3 linked regions of the Bombyx mori genome follow. The protein of the gene in region 2 interacts with the protein of the main gene of each other region in a biochemical or structural test. Links are inferred from orthologs where the notes say so. Each region holds a gene or a part of one and is shown on either strand. Other genes may lie near its edges. The genes, in order: E3 ubiquitin-protein ligase Nedd-4, Ubcd4 and anaphase promoting complex subunit 11.

Region 1 (3,658 bases), on a different chromosome or scaffold from region 2:
CTCAAGGTGGGTGGCGCATTTACGTTATAGATGTCTATGGGCTCCAGTAACCACTTAGCATCACGTGGGCTGTGAACTCGTCCACCCATCAAAGCAATAAAAAAAAAACTCTTCAAACCGAATTTATTGATTTAGTCTCAGTTGTAACGTTATATATTACAATTTATTAATGTATTTCTGTCCGTCTGTTGTTAACACGTTGACTGTCGTGTAGGTCACAGGTGCCCTACGCGGCGCACTGAAGTAATTATTTCGATTTTTGTCGCCAAGCGTCTGGATTGCCTAACTTTGCCTTCTTTTGTTTTTAATGCAATTTTTAGTCTTTTAGGCTTCTTAGGAATAGATTCATTTTCAATATCTATAGATTCGTCATTCCCAGAGTCTACTAGATATTCCGGCGTCTTAGTAAGAAGATCGAAGAGAAAAATCTACATAATTAGTTCAGTGAGTCAGGTAGAGCACCGGTGACCTACATAGCAGTCCACATGTTAATTATATACCGGAGCTCATAGACATCACTACATAACCGTCAAAAGCCTCTGTTAGACATGATGACTAAGTCTCAATAGTATTTATTTTTATTTTATTATTTTTTGTGGTAATAGGTTAACAAAGATTAATAGGTTATTATTAATATATGTATCACTATGTCCTGCTAGTAAAGCGTACAAATATTAGTTGTAAGTATAATCTACATAAAAATATTAAACATAAATTATAATAATTTAACTCTATTCTACTTTATCATCTAAGTTATCTAATGTTATCGTCTAAATATTCTGACATAGTATAGCAATTTTCGCTTAAAATCTTGTAAATCTACCGTCTACGAAAATTTTTATAGGTAGTTTTATTAAATATTCTTGTTGACATACTAAAAAAACTCTTGTCATGAAGGGCAGTTTAATAAGTATAACGGTTGGCCCACCCTTCGCTTCGAAACTCATTACTGATTGGCGATTGACAGGGTGATTCTCCCAGTGAGGGCTCACAAGGCAACCACCAGAGAAATACTAAGCCGTGCAAACACACTAACACAAAATAGAGAAAAAAACGGCTGATAGCTTCGCTAAAAGCCGAAGAGATCGAACGAGTTCTGTCTTGCAGCGGGTGGATCATTATGCAACAAGTAAGTAGTATAATCTCATCAGAGCGTACCTTGATCCACATCAGAGAGTTGTAGTATTCCAAGTCCACGGACTCCATGTCGTGTAGATCGATGGCTTTACCCAGCATCATCTTGTAGAACGGTCGAATGAAGAACGCTGAAGAGATAGATACATCATTCGTTAATATTGTTTCCTTACACCATAAAGGTTTTAGAGCTAGACCCACGTCTAGCAGCCGGGGTCAGGGCACCGAGATGCAATTTGAGACACGGATTAGAGCACATTATCTAATTCAGTGAAGTACCTAACGTACTCTTTACAAAATCGCGACACTCAAGTGAAGGTACATTTATGTTACTGTAAATCATTAATATTGGATAAAACAGTTCTATATTAGCGGTACTCAGGTCCTTACCTGAAAACGGGAATAATACGGACCCTGGCGGGCTCAATAGACGCACGCGAGCTCGAGTTTGTCGCGAAAATTTAAACGTAAGGCCCTTTTCGCTACAAAAGGGCTAGTGCGAGCTGGCGACTCACCATCCAGGAGCTTCCCGTGGTACACGGCCATGCCCGCCACGCGGCCGATGAACTTGAAGTAGTTGAGGTGCTCCTCGTTGCACACGCCGCTGTTCGGGTTGATCTGCAGCGTGTAGTTGTCCATGGCGGAGTACTCGAACAGGCCGTAGTACGGATTGAACATCTCCTTCGACAGCAGGAAGAACCACTCGCGGGCAAGGCCGCCGTAGTCTGCGCACCAATCGCACACTTTAGTTAGCATTTTTAGTATGTTGAAGATTTCGCGTCAGCTGCATGAGCGTCAGGGAAAATTCCGCAGGTGGATTCCCTGTTTTTTTCTAATGAAATACATACTTAACCCCTTTCCCAAAAATGACTTCCTCTTTAAAAAAATAGAGAAGAGGAGGAAACCAGGGTTGTCACAGTTTACTCACCTAGCCCCACTTCGGATTCGAACTCGACCCACAGCTTAGTCTTAAGCAGATCCAGCCGGCTAACCGAACTGATGATGCGGTACGAGTCTTCCAATATCGAGTTCCGACGCACTTTTATCTCGAATTTGTTTGGCACGTTGTTCTGTAAACAAATAGTAGGGACTTCAATATAAACCCATTTATTCACAAGTACCTTTTATTACATTTTGGAGAGCTCTCGCGTGACGGTACTATATGTGCCGCTGCCAAAGACATTCTTTTCAATATTTTATTACTGCCCATGGGCGGACGTGTTTACAACCCATCTGCTGTTAAATTAAGCACATAGCTTTACCTGCCTTGATACATGTATATATATCTTCATTTCTATTTTTTTTAACAATTTTGTGTGTTAGTGAAAGTACACAAGCCTACATCTTTTTTAATTGAGATTATTATTATCGTTCTTCGACATCAGCTATGTCAGAAGCATTGTACGCATAATTGACGACCTAATAACATTGTCAATGTCATAGACTGTGCTATTCAAAAGACTTACAGGCTTACGAAGTTGACTCTTAAGGTATTCGTATTTCCGTTTGTAATCTCTCGAGTAAGGCACGGCCGGTCCAGCGATTTGAGGGTTGGAGAGGCGAGGGTCCTCCCATTGTGTGGTACGCGTATCTGAGGAACGTGTTCGACGTCATGAGACTGCCTTGAGTCGTTTTCACCAAGTTCTTAGTGCATTGCAATAATGTATATTTTGCTAGATCACCCAAAGCGCTTGGTTGTACAGTATGCAGTGATAGACCGAAGGTTGTTAAGGACGAGGACATTCAGGTCGCGTCTAGTTAAGTTCTTATAGCCTTGAGAGGCTATTTCAGCTTCACCTTAACGTGTAGGTGAGCTCACGGGGCTCAAGCCGAAGTGTTGCTAATACTGACCCTAGCAAGAGCAGTGCTTCGCAAAATCTACCACCAGATCGGAAACGCGACCCACTGAGAAGATCCGGCGAGAAACTCAGTGGGCTGTGTGTGGGTTAATTTACTCGTCGAGCCCTTCACCGCAAGCGACGGGTTCGACGAGAACGGTGACCGGGACAATTCATAAAGACATGTATATAATACAAGTTAGATTTAGTTACATTAACAACCGGCTCAACCGCATGATACCTGTTGGTAAGTAGCCCCTCAGAGACCTCTCAGAGAACAATTCTCCAGTAATCTATACTAATATATAAATCCACAGTGGTTTTTACGGATGTTCCGTTATAACTACTGAACCGTGCATCCGATAAAACAGAAAGAAGAAAATACATGTACTTAATGGATAGGGTAATATTTATATGAGTGTTGGACTCCCTACACCAATTGCGGGGACGTTAATGATGAGAATCTTTGTGGAGTGAGAAATAATAAGGATCATTTTAAATGGCCAGCGAAGCGGACGGGTACAGCTATTTAGATATAAATGTAGACAAGTTAAATATCGCGAACAGACTCACTGTGGTCGATGAAGAATATCCTGCCGTCGGTGTGGACGCGCTCCTCCCAGCCCTCGGGCAGGGCGCCGAGCTCGTCCCCGTCCCCCGCGCCCCCCGCACCGCCCGCCTCCGCG
Region 2 (3,758 bases):
ATGTAAAAACTGAGATCTTAGAGTTCATGTGTTAAGGTGGATGGCAGCCTTTATTTTATGGATGTCTATGGGCTCCAGAAACTACTTAACACAAGATGACTTATCTAAACAAATAACATGGATGCATATCAAATTAATTACTAATTCTATAGGTATTTTATTTAGTAATTGTTGTGTGAGCATTTGAACAAAATTCAACAGAAGAAATATTATTTTCCACAAAAATTATTATGTTTTTACATTTATTCAAATTGCAATAATTAGTCACCAATGTAGTCAGTACACTTATATATTTTATGTCAGTATTCACATGTTATATTAGCTATTTGAATAGACATTGATGTAGAATTAAGTCTAATATTTGCATTTAATACTAGAGTATTTAGGTTTGAAACTGACTACTTATTACTCTGAATTCCGTTCTTTGTGTGTATTGTGAACCGTTTTCATAAGTGCTCACTGTTGATAACTTCTTAAAAATATATTTTCGTTATTGATGAACAAGATAGCTCATTCTTTTGAAGTGACTTTATTAAATTTGTAATAAGCAATTGCTGTGTGTTAGAATTTTACCTTTACACCTTTAACAGCACACTTTTAATTTTATTATGATTGTCTAATTTGGTTACTTATACACTAAAATGTTAGAATTACATTAGTTTTCTATAAAGTTACACGCCTTTTATCTTGTAATTAAGTAAACAAATGCATTATTTTTATTGTTTGGATAATGTTAAGCATCCTCAGTAAATCATTTATAGAATTTTATTAAGTACTGGTAACGACTGTACACAATGAAGTGTGTATTCGGGAACAACGGGCGCCCTTCATAGCCTTGCACGAGTTATTTATGTATGCGAGAGCATCATGTTCTTATTTCAAACACCATTTATTTTTAAATTCATAACATAAACTACTATTGGATTGAGGTACTTAGCATGCATTAGACAAAATTTTAACATAAACATTATCACAACGCACCTTTAAGCGCCAGGTACATAGGTGGAACCCGGTGACATAGGGAGTAAATTAACATAACTTCGTCCTTAGACTGTTTATAACACTGGTCATACCTCAAAATAAGACCTAAAACTTACTCACTATTATTAACAGCAAACATCACGAAACTAAATTAACTTTTATTTTAATATTGCGAATAGGAAATCACAGACGGTAATAAAATTATTGCCACACATTCAAACCAACCACAGTACACAACTTGACTTGAAGCCTATTGAAATGCGTTTACGAATGCGAGGTCTGTTTCTCTTTAAAATCTCATGCAAAATGTTGAGTGATCTGTGAGATTTCTGAACGAAATACAGAGAAAGTAAAATTCATAGAGAAAGAAAACTACCGAAAATTATTGCAATGATATGGTAATACCGTTAGTAAGTGAGAAGAGAATGTCAAATTTATATTTTTAGTCTATGTTCGACGTCAGGGTGTGGTAGAATTTAATTTCAGATATAGTGGTAAACATTTGCTCGGAATACGTTTTTGAAAACTCTTTGGTAGAATATCCTGGTATCAATCTCTTTATTTCATCGCCTGCGATCGTGCGCTTTAAACGTTTTTGAATCCAGTAAAGCAATAAGTGAAAATTAAGTAGAATTTTAACAATGGCAAATATAGCAGCCAAACGTATAAAAAGAGAGTTCAAAGAGATAATGAAAAGTGAAGAGGTATGGATAATAATTTAACTAAACTTTATATTTGTTTTGATGTTTAGAATGTAGAACTGGAGTTACTTGCACTTTTGTTAAAATGTCATATTTTGTTGGAATGCATTATTATTATTTAGATAGTTAAATTGCCCAAGAAACTAAATTGTTGGATTGTCTCGATATAATAAAACAAAGAACAAATAGCCAGTTCAGAACAATGTGTGCGTGATTCAGCAAACTTGTAGAAATCATGTTTTGTTTAAATTCAAAACGTTAATGCTATTTTTAATTCGTCGAAAAGGAATTATTTTACTGCTTCGTAATAGTAAAATTAGCTTTTCAAAATACATCTATAATGTTTTTCGTGATTCATACGAGAAAAAGTAAACATTTTGTTTTCTATATTTTCTACCAATGTTTTTAATAGAAACAATACTTATATTACCCACATTGATCTTTATAAGTAATTGAAGTTGTGTTTAAAATAAAATAAAAGATTTTATCCGATTTATGCCCAAGCAAAAGTATTTTTGGCTTATTTATCAAATCACAGTTATGACACTGGTGGCTTCAGGCAACCATTTACTTCCAAAAAGCCAGACATAGTACAGGTATTTTTACATTATTTTGGATTTATTCCCTCATTATTGATTGCCATTGAAATAGAACTTGTGTGTGGGGCACCAGCATCCCCTTGTATATGTGTTCAGCTTACCAAGTAGCAATATTTACACATAACATACCGAATTTTTTTAAATTAAATATCTGTAGCACTATTGTCATGGACAGATTGCCTTATTTATTGCAATTGTAAGAGCACACCTGCGTGCAATGCATGTAATACATTAATGTACCGAACATGATCCAGGCGATACTAAGCTAACAGCATTCATAATCCACATTTTGATTACAATAGTAATTGTCCTCATAAACATGAACTAGACGATGACCGAGCTTTGCTCGGTATTAATTTTTTTTTTGATAAATTGTCTTTCGGTTGGCTTAACAACGTCATCTGTGGAAATAACTTTAGTGTTATTGTGTCTTTAAACAATTATGAAAAATAGTATTATTATTCGCCAATATATGTCGGGAAGTCATAAAGTTGATTATCGATAAAGTTGATTATTGAAAACACAAGTAAAACAACATTTCCTAAAATAAATTCTAGCTAGATCGATTTATCGCTCCCTGAAATCCCATGTATACTAAATTTCATAAAAATCGTTGGAGCCATTTCCGAGATTCAGATTATATATATATACAAGAATTGCTTGTTTAAAGGTATAAGATTCTGTGTTTGTGTAGACTAAGAATATTAAATATCTCAGTCCTAGCCCAAACCCAGCAAAAACTGAATTTTTCATTAGACAAAGTTTTTGCACTTCCTGCAAGTATGTGCTCTCCAATTAGCAAGTATCTTTTACTGCCTAGGTTGTATCTGAAAGCTAGCATGTGTAGTAAGAAGGTTACTCCTACTTAAAATATCTGCACTGCATTAGCACCAAGGCCCAATTTTTGTTTATTTATATATAGTGTAGATTATTGGAACTATCTTCTTATTGAGATCCATATTAAGAGTTTTTCAGGAATACCATTCATTAAATTGAATTACCAGGGCTCTTGCATTTACTTTTCTTAACCTTCTGTACTGAAATAATATACTGTACAATGACACATTGTGTAATTGTGTTAGTCATATTTGTATATCTAAAAGTGCATACTTGCTGCATTGTAAGCTTGCACAATTTCTTATCTCTCTCTAACCTTTAGCTTCTGCACGGCTGCCCACTGAGATCTTCTAGCACCTCACATCTAAATGGAACAAATGTTTATGTTTCTGCAAATATAAACAGCAGGGAAAACAAAGAGGGTTGTAATTGCCAGGAGGAGTGGGATTTGCTAACAACTGCCTTAGCACCTCTAAAGAAAACCTGCCATCTCAAGGGCAATTGCTTCACGAATTCATCTTCTACCAGACCGGAATTGCGCCCCACTGAGAAGATCTGGCGAGAAATTTAGCAGGCTCTAAATGTTATAGAGGGTAGATTTACTTTGAACTCTGACGAGTTTGATGAGTTCGGTTAGCAG
Region 3 (3,758 bases), on a different chromosome or scaffold from region 2:
ATTGATGATCACTTTGTTGGTGCAACTAAATAAATAAATTAAAACCAAGTAGTGCCCACCCTAGCAAATTTCTCATTTCGTCCCAATTAACCGCAATTTCCGGGTAAATAGGGATTACACCTATTTTTGCTTTTTTTGCTTAAACTGGAATGCTAGTTGCATAGTTTTAAATTGGACAACAAAGATGCTCCCAAGACTCAATCATTTTGATCCTGATATAGCATTATATACATCAACAACTACCTTAAAATTGGTCATAAAGATGGAATTTGTCCCTAATCGCCCCATTTTACCGGTACTTGCGTATTTCAAGTTGCTTCCGCTTGCAGTTCTTTCACTGAAGTTCCAGTACATGTGTAATTTCTATTTTTAGTATTGTTTAAAAGTGATTTATTAAAGACCTTGTTTAGTTTTTAGTTCTTTTTATTTCAAATGATTTTTAGTAGTTTAATTGAGTTTGGTAATTTTTTTTTATTTCACTTAACATCATTTCAAAATATGGTACTCGTTTATGACTTCGTTTCATGTATCGATCCCCGTGCCTATCAGATTTTGAAATAAAATAATAAAAATTACACTTTGAAAATTTTCGAATTAACATCTGACAATTTTTTTAGCGGGAACGCAAGGCGCTAAGTTCTGTTAATTTTGTTAAAGTAGTGCTCATGTTTAAACGTGTAATAACGGTGATTATTACACTATTATTATACTATATTACATTATTAACTGTTTAGTATCTCTGAAGGTGCACAAATGTGGGAAAATGAAACAAATTCGCTGGACGTAGCTTCTCAAAAGCTTCCAAAAAGTCTTGGTGCATAACCACCACTCCACTGAGACTATATTTCATCACATCTCATCTCATTTCATTAACATCCTAATTGATTTACTGTCTCAAATTAATAAACTTCATCTCATTTCGCTCTATGGTTTTTCAAAACACAGAATTCACAGAATACACAAAAAATACGCTGTATGGTGTGATACCTTCGTTTTTCCAGTTCAAAAAATAAAGTAGCCGATAAGACTGACATATGACTGACATTAAAAACAAATTTATTTGATCTTACTTGATTTTACTTCAGTGGTTAGATTAATAAAATAAACATTATATTTTTAAAATTAGCACATAAACTTAAAGGCAAATGATAAATACTGAAAAAAATTTGTTCAGTCAACATATTATATCATAAAAATCGTTAATTTAATTATGAAGGATCTTAAGGTTAAATAAATCTAAAACTTCTATTTTAGCCTCATGATCGCGCTATGAAAGTAACTGTAAAAAGTAAGCACAATCTCTTTTTTTCATAATGTTTATTTTCCCTGGTTAATTTACACTTTATTCTTTGCAACTTAAAACACACTGACATTAAAGTAAATTAAGTAGTAATTTTTGCTAAGTGCCTTATTGTCATAGAGCACAATTCTTAAAAATTCCTCATACAAGGAAGAACCGATTGAAATTGAAATATTCACAGTAACGAGATAATTCATTTTAGGTTGGACAGGGGTTGCAACTTGGAGGTGGGTAGCAAACGACGACAATTGTGGGATTTGTCGTATGCCATTTGATAGCTGCTGTCCAGACTGCAAACTACCTGGGGACGACTGCCCTCTAGTTTGGGGTGCTTGCTCTCACTGTTTCCACATTCACTGTATCGTAAAGTGGCTACACTCTCAGCCTCAACAGCAGTGTCCTATGTGCAGACAAGACTGGAAGTTCAATAACAAGTGAAATATTCGTAAGTACATACCATAAATTAAGAAAATATAGTTTAAATAATAAATAAATATAGGTTTTTATTCTCACACTTTATTGTGTCACTGCTGTCCCATTTTGTAACTATATTTTGTTTACCAACCTATAAGGCTAGAATAATTTGGAAAAATTTATTGTTTGGTGTTTTCAAACTCAATAAGTAGTTAAATGGTTCGATGATTATAGAGTCACAAATCCTTATTAGTCATTTTTAGTTTAGTGATAACAAGTTTAAATCTCACCTTAACTTATTAATCAGGTGGTATGTAGTATAGAATATAGGGATTGATCTGCACATAATAGCAACTTTTATTATTAATGTCAGAATAATGCAAATCTAACATAAATGAAGTTGACAATATCACAACATTTTTCTTTCTTTGAAGCTTTGATTACGGAGTTCTACAGTTTCCTTCCTTTCATAATTCAGCAGAGTACTAAGTTTTAAAGACAAAAGGTTGCTACTATGCTAGTACAGATTAAATATTATTAAAGTTTTCTGTGAATTGTTGTACAAGGGATTGTCAAAAATATCATAATAACGAGGGGTGAAAGGTTATTATTTGGTTTAAGAGATAATATTCGATATTTATCTTTGTAATTAAAGGTGCATTTTATTTGATGTCAGTATAATTTTTTAATTGAACTTTAATTAAGCTAAAGAAGTTTTTTTTTTATTATGTTTTTTTTTTCAAATTTTAAACTTTAAATGGCTCTGCTATAAAGCTGCAAAAATGTCGCTCAAATCAAATAGCCTTTCACCCCGATATGAACTACTGATAAATTTAGATGTGTTGGTGAAATTAGCCTACCTTATGTTCTTTTTTTTTTTATTGCCCCTGTGGGCATACGGCCCACCTGATGGTGAGTGGTTACCGTCGCCCATGGACCTCAGCAATGCTAGGGGCAGAGCCAAGCCGCTGCCTACTGCTAAAATTTTCACTGCTTTTCCATTATTTGTATTTGGGCAGGGATTAGATGCAGTGTAGTTCGACTCCCACAACCTGAATTTGTTCAAACCACTCTGAAATTATAAATATTAGGTAATGATTATTAACAAAACATCTGTAGTGATAGAAAACAATCTCTGGAAAAATATTCTATAAGGATTCTGGATGATTTGCCTTTGGCACCAAATAATTTGGTCAAAGGGCAAATTATCTCTCCCAAAAAAACCAAAATACTGGGATACTCTTAAAATATAATCTTTATATACAGTATTTATAATATACTTTTTTACTGGGCATCGTTTCTGCCTGCACTGATAGTGACCACCATCCTACATATTTTTGCTGTGAAGCAGTAAAATGTAAACATTTGATGTGTGGAGCAGCCGATGTACTGTAAAAACTGACTTAGAAGTCATGTCACAGAATGGGTTGTGACAACTCATTAATCTCTCAGCAAAAATTAACTGTGAACCTTGCTGTCTATTCTTCGAGTTGCCTTTCGCAAAACTCACGAGAAGAGAGTGGATGCCATTCTAGGCCCTCTGGAGCTTAGTGTGCTGCATGCCGACATCGGTGTGTTTATAAACCAAAAAGGTCCCACATATTGCTTAACAGCACTTCAAAGAAATGTGATCAAAGCTGAAGTCCTGACAGGATACGTTGATGGCAAGCAATTTTTTTTGCCCCGAAATCGTCCTTTTAATTTTTTTAATTTTTCTTGTTGCTTCGATGGGTGGACGAGCTCACAGCCCACCTGATGTTAAGTGGTTATTGGAGCCCATAGACATCTACAAACTAAATACGCCACCCACGTTGAGATATAAGTTCTAAGGTCTCAGTATAGTTACAACGGCTGCCCCACCCTTCAAGCCGAAACGCATTACTGTTTCATGGCAGAAATAGGCGAAGTAGTGGTACCTACCCGCGCGGACTCACAAGAGGTCCTACCACCTACTTAATCAAATATCATTTAGTTTCAAACGCGTAATTTTTGTTTGGCAATGACGCGTAAATAATACACGCGGGGGTAGACATCTACCAGCTGC

Evidence for each region.
Region 1: the proteins of Ubcd4 (region 2) and E3 ubiquitin-protein ligase Nedd-4 form a complex in vitro, tested with the Homo sapiens proteins (2 studies listed by BioGRID). The link is inferred for Bombyx mori from reciprocal best matches to the Homo sapiens genes UBE2K and NEDD4L.
Region 3: the proteins of Ubcd4 (region 2) and anaphase promoting complex subunit 11 form a complex in vitro, tested with the Homo sapiens proteins (3 studies listed by BioGRID). The link is inferred for Bombyx mori from reciprocal best matches to the Homo sapiens genes UBE2K and ANAPC11.

Annotation. Positions count from the first base shown.
Region 1 is NC_085125.1:1,984,067-1,987,724, reverse strand, and holds part of E3 ubiquitin-protein ligase Nedd-4, read right to left. Parts: coding exon 3,546-3,658; intron 2,726-3,545; coding exon 2,601-2,725; intron 2,205-2,600; coding exon 2,063-2,204; intron 1,860-2,062; coding exon 1,650-1,859; intron 1,266-1,649; coding exon 1,159-1,265; intron 1-1,158. UniProt on the Homo sapiens protein: E3 ubiquitin-protein ligase that mediates the polyubiquitination of lysine and cysteine residues on target proteins and is thereby implicated in the regulation of various signaling pathways including autophagy, innate immunity or DNA repair.
Region 2 is NC_085107.1:6,308,123-6,311,880, forward strand, and holds the start of Ubcd4 (ubiquitin conjugating enzyme 4), read left to right. Parts: upstream 1-1,622; coding exon 1,623-1,685; intron 1,686-3,758. UniProt on the Homo sapiens protein: Accepts ubiquitin from the E1 complex and catalyzes its covalent attachment to other proteins. In vitro, in the presence or in the absence of BRCA1-BARD1 E3 ubiquitin-protein ligase complex, catalyzes the synthesis of 'Lys-48'-linked polyubiquitin chains.
Region 3 is NC_085118.1:13,747,554-13,751,311, forward strand, and holds the start of anaphase promoting complex subunit 11, read left to right. Parts: upstream 1-1,087; 5' UTR 1,088-1,269; coding exon 1,270-1,288; intron 1,289-1,298; exon of another isoform or gene 1,299-1,502; coding exon 1,503-1,738; 3' UTR 1,739-1,745; exon of another isoform or gene 1,746-2,786; intron 2,787-3,758. UniProt on the Homo sapiens protein: Together with the cullin protein ANAPC2, constitutes the catalytic component of the anaphase promoting complex/cyclosome (APC/C), a cell cycle-regulated E3 ubiquitin ligase that controls progression through mitosis and the G1 phase of the cell cycle.